2 linked regions of the Rattus norvegicus genome follow. The protein of the gene in region 2 interacts with the protein of the main gene of each other region in a biochemical or structural test. Links are inferred from orthologs where the notes say so. Each region holds a gene or a part of one and is shown on either strand. Other genes may lie near its edges.

Evidence for each region. The genes of interacting proteins can lie anywhere in the genome.
Region 1: the proteins of Snta1 (region 2) and Gucy1a2 interact in a test that uses a peptide from one of them, tested with the Homo sapiens proteins (3 studies listed by BioGRID and IntAct, with this or other methods). The link is inferred for Rattus norvegicus from reciprocal best matches to the Homo sapiens genes SNTA1 and GUCY1A2.

What each region holds. Positions count from the first base shown.
Region 1 is NC_086026.1:8,783,501-8,788,497, forward strand, and holds the start of Gucy1a2 (guanylate cyclase soluble subunit alpha-2), read left to right. Parts: upstream 1-1,711; 5' UTR 1,712-2,131; coding exon 2,132-2,428; intron 2,429-4,997. UniProt on the Homo sapiens protein: Has guanylyl cyclase on binding to the beta-1 subunit. Isoform 2 acts as a negative regulator of guanylyl cyclase activity as it forms non-functional heterodimers with the beta subunits.
Region 2 is NC_086021.1:163,363,853-163,369,002, reverse strand, and holds the start of Snta1 (alpha-1-syntrophin), read left to right. Parts: upstream 1-2,075; 5' UTR 2,076-2,185; coding exon 2,186-2,477; intron 2,478-5,150. UniProt on the Homo sapiens protein: Adapter protein that binds to and probably organizes the subcellular localization of a variety of membrane proteins. May link various receptors to the actin cytoskeleton and the extracellular matrix via the dystrophin glycoprotein complex.

The DNA of each region.
Region 1 (4,997 bases), on a different chromosome or scaffold from region 2:
CTAATTTTAACATAAACAAAGACATATAGGCTTAATTGATGCAATGGTGAATTTAACCATGAATCTGTAATACTATATAAATAATATTAAGAATGATGGTAATATTAATAATAAATTTAAAACACAGGCTTGAATTTAATCTGGTAAAATGTGAAATCACACAGTGGGATCTTTTACCATAGGCTGTGAAACAGTATGTACATATGTATCGACTACATATATAGCATACATATGAATATGTATTTAAATAAGTTAATAGTACTGCAAACAATCATTTCATATCTGTAATGTCTATTTAAGATCTGATTTTTCCAAAGTATAAAAGGAAAGCTCAGTACATTTTTACAGTTTGTTCTAAACAATTAAGAAGATTTAGAATTAAAAGCAAATTGGAGTAGGGAAGCAATAATAACTCTGAGGTTTTCTTTTGTTTTGAAATATGCTCTGTCCATTTAAACTTATCTAACTTACCCAGACTAGCCCTTTGCAAATGAGCATAAAAACACTGTGGCTTTTGTGTCCTTCAAGTTAAAGCCCAAGCCCTTCTGAGATCAGGAGGAGAGGAAGGTGCACAATCGCTTTCACCAGGAAACTAAGCTTGGAACTCCTCCCCTGGGATACTGCAATTTCCTCTTCCTTTTTACCCTCGTCTATTAAAAATTTCAGAACAATCTTTTCTGGAACTAACCAAGGGCTTTGGGGCCACCCCTGCGACTGGTGGCAATGGTTCAAATTGTAAAACGAAGCTGGTGTGCTGAAACTAACACTCAAGAGACCCATAGTGTGGCAAATCTGTTCTTGGTGTATGAATCGCCACTGCCCTTGGTTTTCCCAAATGCATATCTGGAACAAGTTCAGTGGTCTAGGTTCATAGGAACCTCCTGCATGCTCCTTAGGGTCAGGTCAAAGAGAGGAGTCTGTACAGGAATAGATCAGATGCTGTCACCATCTGACAAACATGGTGCAGGGGGTGAGCGGAGCTGTCCAGCACTGGAACTTAGAAAGCTGGAGCTGGGAGATGCTCCTCCAAAAGAGCTCCCACAAATGAAGCAACAAGGAACAGACGCTAGCCTCACTGTCCTCGTGGCCTCACTAGAGGTGGGGAATCATCCTCACAATCTGTCCCGTAGTTTTTTCCTTTGCCTGTGTGTCCGCTGGAGCAGTTGATGTGACCAATCTGAACTTCTAAAATAAACTAGACATTGGACTTTGGACATGGCGTGTGTGTGTGTGTGTGTGTGTGTGTGTGTGTTGAGTGTGTGTATGAGTCTGTTTGTGTCCGTGAGCACGCCTGTGTGTAGGGACCCCAATACTCTAGGTCGGGCTGTCAGTTTTCTTCAGAGAGAGATCACTCCCTCAATTCTATGGCCCTCACCCTAGCGTCAGACATTGGGCGTGCTCACTGCCCTTCTGTTTTTCAGGGGCCAAGGGACATTTGGGCTTAGGAACCTTTAGCCCTATGACAACTACTGTACGCTCCCCCTGGTATCAGGGCACAATGGCTGGGAACCGAAAGAACAGCAGCAAAGTGTCCTAGTTGCTCCCGAAATCTGGCGACAGAAAAGGAAAAGACTTCCAATGAGTATGCTTGGGACACGTGATGCCCGCGGAGGCAGCGCTGGAGGGCGGGGGTATAAAGGGAGGAGGAGGGAGTCGCGCAGCTCCTGGAGGGGGCGGAGGACACGAGCCACGGGCGATCGAGATGCAAGGCGGAGGATCCTTGCTGCATGCACCCTTATCTCCGCAGTCCTTCAGTGGGAGCTTTGTGCACTGGCCGGTGCTGAGGCTGAGCTTGGAGAACAGCAGCTGCAGAGTCAGCGGTGGCGGTACTTGAATCCTCAGCTCATCTCCGGCGCCACTGCGGAGCCTGGGCCGTAAGGAGCCTCGGCAACCCAAGTTCCCGCCATGAGCAGCTGGCTCGGTGGGCTCAGCTGCCCCAGGGACACGCATCTGGGAGAGCGCGAGCGCAACGCCAAGCAGCCCCGAAGCGACTGAAGCTGCCTGCTACAGCATATCCAGCCACGGTCACCACCACCACTGCGTCCCTGCCTCCACCACCACTACCGCCACCATTACCACTACCACCACTGCTGCCGCCGCCGTCTCTGCTGCAGTAGTGTCTCCAAGCAGCATGTCTCGCAGGAAGATTTCATCCGAGTCCTTCAGCTCTCTGGGCTCCGATTACCTGGAGACCAGCCCGGAAGAGGAAGGGGAATGCCCCTTGTCTAAGCTCTGCTGGAATGGCAGCCGGAGCCCGCCAGGGCCACCTGGCTCCAGAGCAGCCGCTATGGCTGCCACCCCAGTCCCCGCTGCCTCTGTCGCTGCGGCAGCTGCTGCAGTCGCCGCCGGGTCCAAGAGAGCCCAACGCCGCCGGAGGGTCAACCTGGACTCACTGGGCGAGAGTATCAGTCTCCTGACGGCGCCCTCGGTGAGCCGGGAAAGGGATGGGGAAAGTTGGATCGAAGCTATCTGGGGAGCTTGGGGAGCTCCCGTCCGCTGGGGGGCGACTCGGCCTCACCCTCTTTGGCCTTGAGTTCCTAGTGGTCCCTAGAGGTCTGGGCTTAGGCAGAAGGGGAACATTGGGAAATAATGAGACCCATTCTTTCCAAGGTCTGCCTGTCCACTTCCAGGCTTAAATCAAACTACACTGTTGTCTTCTTTGATAGCCTCAGGGATCCTTCAGGCCACCTGTTTTTCTATTTTCCTTCTTTCTCTTCTGCTTTCTTCTACTTTAACTCTCTTTTCTTTCCTCTCTTCCGGTCTTCTTTCTTCTCCCTCCTTTCCTCCCTCCTTTCTTTCTTCTATCTTTTCTTCCTCCCAACCCTCCCTTCTTTCTGCTCAAAACTTTCCCAGGGTGTGTTCTGGTTCTGCAACTCCCATTTCCCTTTCCAACATTCCAAAGAGGCCCCAGCTCCCTCCTCTGGAAGCTCTTACTCTTCCTATTTCCCACACTCTCTTGGTCTGATTCGTGACCTTTTAGGGCATCTCTGAATTCCACAGGCTCACAGCAGTCTCTTTTGAATGCTTTTCTCACATTTAAGAAAGCTCTCTTAGATATTTTTCTGAGTTGTTTTTTCTCATACAAAACTGTAATGCTATGTTTACACACACACACACACACACACACACACACACACACACACACACAGAGCACCTTCGTGATGTTTTCTTATTTGTTATAAATTTATTGGCTCAGTTTTCCTTTTAGGGCAAACCTGGTGTCTTTGTAAAAATAAAAGTCACTTGTACCCTTACCTCATCCTGGACTTTCTTATCCTTAGATTCTCCACTGTTTCAGTTTTTTTAAAATGTTTTTATTTCTTCTTTTATGCCTCCGTTATATTAGAATCCACTACTATGTTTATTGAATGAATGCATGCCTTCATGTACTTCCTTCAAACATATGTTGATCTTAGGATATGTAGTATTAGCAGTTTCCCCTGTACACCCTGGTTCTAGTCATTCTTACATACCACTTTTATTCATTCCTCCTCAGACATTTCTCCCACTCCTGCCTGTATGATTTTTCAGGAATGTCAGGCCTCTGTTTTTTACCATTTACTAAGCAGACTTTGGGTTTGTAGAAATCCACTCAATTACAGAGTGTAAAGGAGATTCAATGTCAAATTTGCACCCACTTTTGAACCTCATCCAGGTTTTGAAAGCAAAAACTTTAACTTTCTTTAAGAACTACATTTTCCCCTTCTGCTCTCATTTCTTTGACTTTAACTTTCTCTGAACTTCCCTCAATGTATTTGGACAATGTTCTCTTATTTAGTGTATCCTAGGTTTCCCTTGGAAAGCATACTTGTACTCAGTGTAGAAAAGTCCTGGGGAAAAGCAAGATGTTAAGGATCTATGTTCTGGTCCAGGCAATGCCACAGACATCACTGTGGTATCTGTGTTATTGGAGAAGTGTTTCTTTCAACACTGAAACATATTTTCAGTCTCTTTTCTTTCTGTTGTGTTTTACTCTTTAACACACCATCCTACAGATAATCTAGAAAGATAATTCAGATCAGGTTGGCTGATTTGTTTTCAATCTTCCCTATAAATTTGTCCCACAGAAGATAATCCTGAGACATATATAATGCTACAAATTGTCAAACATAACTGAGTATGAGAGGAATTCAGTAGCTGTGCATATGTAGGTTTGTATCAACCCACAACATAACATTTTTGCAACATATCAATACTTCAGTCAACAGGTTCATATAGCTAACTAAACATAATGATCCATTGGTAAAGAATCCTTGTAACCCAGATTTTTTTCTTTGTGCTTGAGAAGTAAAATATAGAGGTTTCTAAAGTGTCTTTGATAATGATTTTGCATAGAATATTCTCAAATACTCACTTGAGGCTTAGGGAAAATAAAGTGATAACTGATGTATCTACTGTGAGAATGAGAGACAAGAAATAATTTCTGGTGGTTTCTTTTGTAATTTGGAGTTTAGTGACTGATGTGAAAAACATGTGCCCAGATAATGCTTTTCAGAACAAGAAATTTGAAAGAAATTGTGATATTAAAAAGTTCAGAAGGTCTGTGTTCTTTATAAGAACATATAATTTGCATTGGGAAACTTTGTAGAAAGTTACATTACTTTCTTAAGTTGTAAACATCAAGTCATTATTGTATTTAACTAATAACTGAGGCTCCACTGTGTAGCAGATATTGGATTGGGGAAACAGATGCTGAATTATCTACATATAGCTTTTATGGACTTCTTTAGTCCTTAATTTGAGGAATGTGAATTGAAAGGAGCATAGGAACTTTGATTGCACTGTGACATCCAAGGAACATTTTGTGTGTATTTTTTTTTGCACTGTGTGTCTTTGCAGTACAGTCATAATAACAAACATTATTGTACAGGCCCAGTTGGAGACATGACAATAACTTACTATGTCCTTTATTTGAAAGTAATTGGATACTTGGACACAAATGGAGTTATTGGTACGAGACTTTGTATCAAGGATGAATTTAGCAACTCATTTTATTG
Region 2 (5,150 bases):
TTAAGGTTCCTTCCCAGGAAGTCTGTCTGGGCTTCATTAAGCAGGGCAATACGTGGGGGGACTTTTAAGGATCTAATTCTAGACTTGGTCTTGGGAAAGGACCTCAGTTCCTGGTGATGTGTGCCCCCTTCTCATTTCCTTCCCTTCTTTTTATTTTAATGAATAATTTTATTCATTTACATTTTAATGTATTTTTATTTTTATTTAATTTTAATTTTATTTTCTTTCTTTTTTCTTTCTCTCTTTCAGACTGGGTTTCTCTGTGTGGTCCCAGTGGACCTAGAACTCACTCTGTAGACCATGTTGGCCTCAATCTCAGAGATTCACCTGCCTCTGCCTTGCTGGGATCAAAGGTGTATACCACCACTACCACCTGTTGCTGTATTTTAAAAATTATAAACAGGGTCTCACTCAGTTGCCCAGGCTGGCCTTGAACTTGTGATTCTCCTGTTTCAGGCTGAGTATCTGAGATTACAGATCTTTCTCAGTAAGTCTAGCTTGTCCTTCAATATTTAACTTAAAGTCTAGAGTTCAATTCTAAGCATATATATGACAGCTCAAAACCATCTTTAATTCTAGTTTCTGGGATCTGATGCCCCTCTTCTGGCCCTCGAGGACTGACTTTATGTGGAGCATAGACATCCGTCAAGGCAAAACACCAATCCACATAAACATTAGAATAATTTAAAAAAGTATAACCTGGAACTTGCTATGAACTCTAGCTAGCCTAGAATTACTTCATGATCCCCCTGCTTCAGTCTCCTAGTGCTGTGATTACATATGGCATCTTGCTTGGTCCAGTAAGTACTCAAGAGCGAACAGTGACATTATCTCCTGCTGTTATGCACGTAGCACACTGGAGTAGGAGGGAAATGAGCTTGGAAGCCAGAAAGACCTAGGTTAGAAGAGAGGTCTGCTTTTAGTGCTTGTGTGTCTCAGTTTCCTCATCAATAAAATCGCAACAATGTGGGCTGGAGAGATGGCTCAGCGTTTAAGAGCACTGACTGCTCTTTCAGATGTCCTGAGTTCAATTCCCAGCACTCACGTGGTGGCTCACAAGCATCTGTAATGAGATCTGCTGCCCTAAAGAGTAAAAAAGATAGTAACAATGTATCGGTTATGCAGGATTTATACAAGGCACAACTGATAGCATAGATCAGCCAGTCCATGTGCCATGCAAACATGGAATAAGTGCCATACATATATGTATGTATGCATGTATGCATGTAACACATGTCTTTATTTATTTTCATTATTTTTGTGTGCACGGGTATAGGTGTTTGCAATGTGAACAGAGGTTCCCAAGCTAGTGGTCTCAGATCCCCACGGAGCTGGAGTTACAAGTGACTGCGAGCTGTGAATTTTACTCTGGTCCTCTATAAGAGCAGTACATGCTCTTAACCTTTGAGCCTTCTATCTCTATCTCTTTATGTCTTTTTATTTTGTATCTTTTAAAGGCAGGGTCTCATGTAGCCTAGACTGGCCTCAAACTTGCAGATCCTCCAGCTTCTATTCCAAGTGATGGGACCAAGTTCTCAAAGGAGTGGCGTTTCTCCTCCCGGTGGGTAGGGTAGACCTACATCTTTAGAGGCCGCACCCTCAAGCTGAGTCACGCCAACAGACCTCCGCTGGTACCCTCTCCCTATGGCACACATCTTCCCTATGGGAAACCATCTTCTTCCTTAGCTCATTTAACTCTGTCTGCAGAGTCCCTGGAGCCTACCGTCCCGCCACAGGCAGCTCTGCCCCAGGACCCTTGATTCTTTTTTTTTTTGTCCTTCTGCTTCCACGAGCTACACACAGTCCAATCCTCGACGGCACACAGAACCGGATTCTTATGTTGCCCCATTCACAGAACCCGGCCCCCTTTATGTTCCCGAACAGCACCCCACCCTCATCCTCCTCTAACTGTGGCCTTGCGGGAGCGCGGTTCTGACCAACTCCTAAGCGATCCCCGCAGCACATCCTTAGATTACCGGGGAGCGTCTCTTCAGTTTCTCCCGGGGCCCCGCCCCCGTTAGCACCGCCCCCGACAGCCTGTCCTGCGAAGCTCCGCCCCCGAGGCCCGGGGAAGGGTGGCGGCTGGCTCTGCTGCCCCGCCGCCCTCTGCCCTGGGCGCTGGGTCGGAGCGGGCCGGGTACGGCGGGACCGGGCGAGCGCAGCGTACTGGGACTTCGAGGCGAAGATGGCGTCAGGCAGGCGCGCTCCGCGCACCGGGTTGCTAGAACTGCGCTCCGGGGCGGGCTCCGGGGCGGGTGGTGAGCGGTGGCAGCGGGTGTTGCTCACTCTGGCGGAGGACGCGCTGACCGTGAGCCCCGCCGACGGCGAGCCCGGCCCGGAGCCCGAGCCCGCGCAGCTCAACGGCGCCGCTGAGCCCGGCGCGGCGTCCCCACAGCTGCCAGAGGCGCTGCTGCTCCAGCGGCGCCGCGTGACGGTGCGCAAGGCCGACGCCGGCGGGCTCGGCATCAGCATCAAGGGTAGGTGCGGGGCACCGAGGGCACGGGGTCGTGTTGTCTGTGTCGCTGCGGAGCTCTCAGGGATCACGGGGGCTGGCAGGGCACTGAGACTAGGTAACCGAAAACCTGTCTAGGGCGGAGCAGAGTCTCCCGGGGAGGAAGGAACAGAGTGAGGGAAGAGCACCAAGGTCGGAAGGGGTTTGGGGAGTTCGGGTGTCTTACAGGAGACTCAGAAGTGTGGAAGGATGGGGGCGCACCAAGGACATAGGTGCTTAGTTCGGTTTTGAAGCAAAACCGTAGCTATGGGTACCAAGGGCAGGAGGGTCCTCGGGAAGACAGACGGGGAGCGGGGGCGGCGGCGAAAGGAAAGGGAATTGAGACCTGGGACACTGCTAGGACAAGGGGGAAGTCATGAGACACAACCTAGGTGAATGGGTAGAGGCCTGGAGTCTGGGAGCTCAATGTGGGTGCCAGGGATGGATAGGAGGCACAGGCATGGTAACAGAGAAGGGGCCAGTAAGGACCAAGACATCTTGGGCTCCCGAGGCTGTATGCCTAGGCTGGGAGTTCTAATGGAAAGAATGAACCCAGAGTTGCCTTTCCTTCCTGAGAATTCTTAGTTTTCAAGAATGACAATTGTTTGACATGGTCTTGTGTATCCCATGCTGGCCTCATAGACACTACGTAGCAAAGGAGACCACCGAATGTCTAATCTTCCTATCTCCACCTCCAGAGGGTTTGGGATTACTGGGATGGGCTGCTAAATAGGTTTATGTTGTGCTGGGGATCAAGCCTAGAGCTTTCTATACACTAGGCAAGCACTTTACCGAGTGACGACTTCTCCAGCTCATTCAGGCAACCATCGGAGTTCTAGAACTCTGTGAACATCCACAAGTCACTTCCCATCTGAGTCTGGTTTGGTAACTATAGGATGAGGAAGGGCTTGCCAGCATGTGTGGGAAAAAGAGGCCAGGAGGGACTCCCAAAGCAACTAAATGTGGTGCTTAAAATCTATGTTCGTACCTAGCTGCTGGGCTTACCATTCCTGACCCTCTACCAGATTGAAAGTGACCATGCATTCTCAGGCCCCCTGGAGGGAGCTGTGTTTATTGGTACCTCGCTTAGATCTTTTGGCCTAGGTTAGGGAATGAGCATGGTGGTGAATGCCACTGTGTGTTAGGTGTTGTGGCCATTACACTTCAGGTCTATTTCATCTTGACCATCAATGGTGAAAGGTGAGTTTAGTCATCAGTGATGAGTTTAATCTCCAGTTTTGCAGGCGAAGAAACTGAGACTCTGAAGGGAAAAATAATTTCCCCAGGATCAGTTAGCGAATGGTAGAACCAGGATTTAAATCTTAATTATAGAGCATTATTGCCCTAAAGACTGTCTGGGGAATCCGTCCATGGAGTACCCTTCCCAGGCAGCCAATCCCAATTGTCAAGACAGGGAGCAAGCTTTCATCCCAAACTCTATGATAGGCCCAGGAAACAGACCAATTTAAAAAAAAAAAATACATTCAAGTGTGTCAGAGCAGGAAGGATAACTGAAGTTCTATAAAGTTCCACTTTGCGGACAGACAAACCAACCCTCAGAGGAGCAGGGTCTTGCCAAGGTACAGGGACACAACTCAAATCTGTACTTCCAGGTGTTGGAAGGACATGTTTATGGGACTTCGGGGAAAGTAACAGTTTCATCCAATTCTTCCTGGATTGAAGACTGTGCTCCTGTTGCTATGGTAACTTCCCTTCTGGGGTCCAGCTGAGTTCGTGAGGCAGCTGGGAATGGTCAGAGCTTCAAATGCAACTGAAGTCCCCACTTTTAGGTGGGGGAGGCTAGATATAAATAGAAACACCTTCCTCTCCTAGGCCTCAAGCCTTGTGCAGTGCCACGAGCAACTGTCGGGCCTGGGTGGGGGTTGGAAGAGGTGTTCCAGGCTCAAATGTCACCGACTTATATAACCTTGAGACAGTGACCTCTTGCTCAGTGCCAGTAATCTCTCATCACTGTACTTTGAGGATGGGCCAGAAATATGACATTCAAGGGTCTGACTTGAGTCTTTTGGAGACTGTGTCTGGCTGTGTAGTTGGTACTGTCCTGAAACGACGTATGTGTAAAGGGTTGGTCTTGAATGTGCAGTAATCCTTTATTTTTTTGCTACCCCAGCACTGGGATTAAAAGCAAGTACGACTATGCCCAGCCCAGCTGACTATTTTAAGATATTTGGTCTGGGTGTGGTGGCAAATGTCTTTAGTCTTAGCACCCCAGAGGCAGAGGCAGGTGGATCTCTCTGAGTTTATAGCCTGTTGAACATAGTAAGTCTCGGGCCCCTCAGGGCTGCATAGTGAGATCCTGTCTCAAACAAACAAACAAACAAACAAACAAACAAGCAAAAGGCATCTGAGGGTGGGTGAAATGGCTCAGAAGCAGTGCTTCTCAACCTTCCTAACACAGCAACTGTGTTTTTTTTTTTTTTTTTTTTTTTTTTTTTCCGGAGCTGGGGACCAAACCCAGGGCCTTGCGCTTCCTAGGCAAGCGCTCTACCACTGAGCTAAATCCCCAACCCCCACAGCAACTGTTTTATACAGTTCCTCATGCTGTGGTGGTCCCCAACTATAAAACTGTTTTCATTGTGACTTCATAACTCCACTTTTGCTACTGCTATGAATAATAATGTAAATGTTCAATATAAGG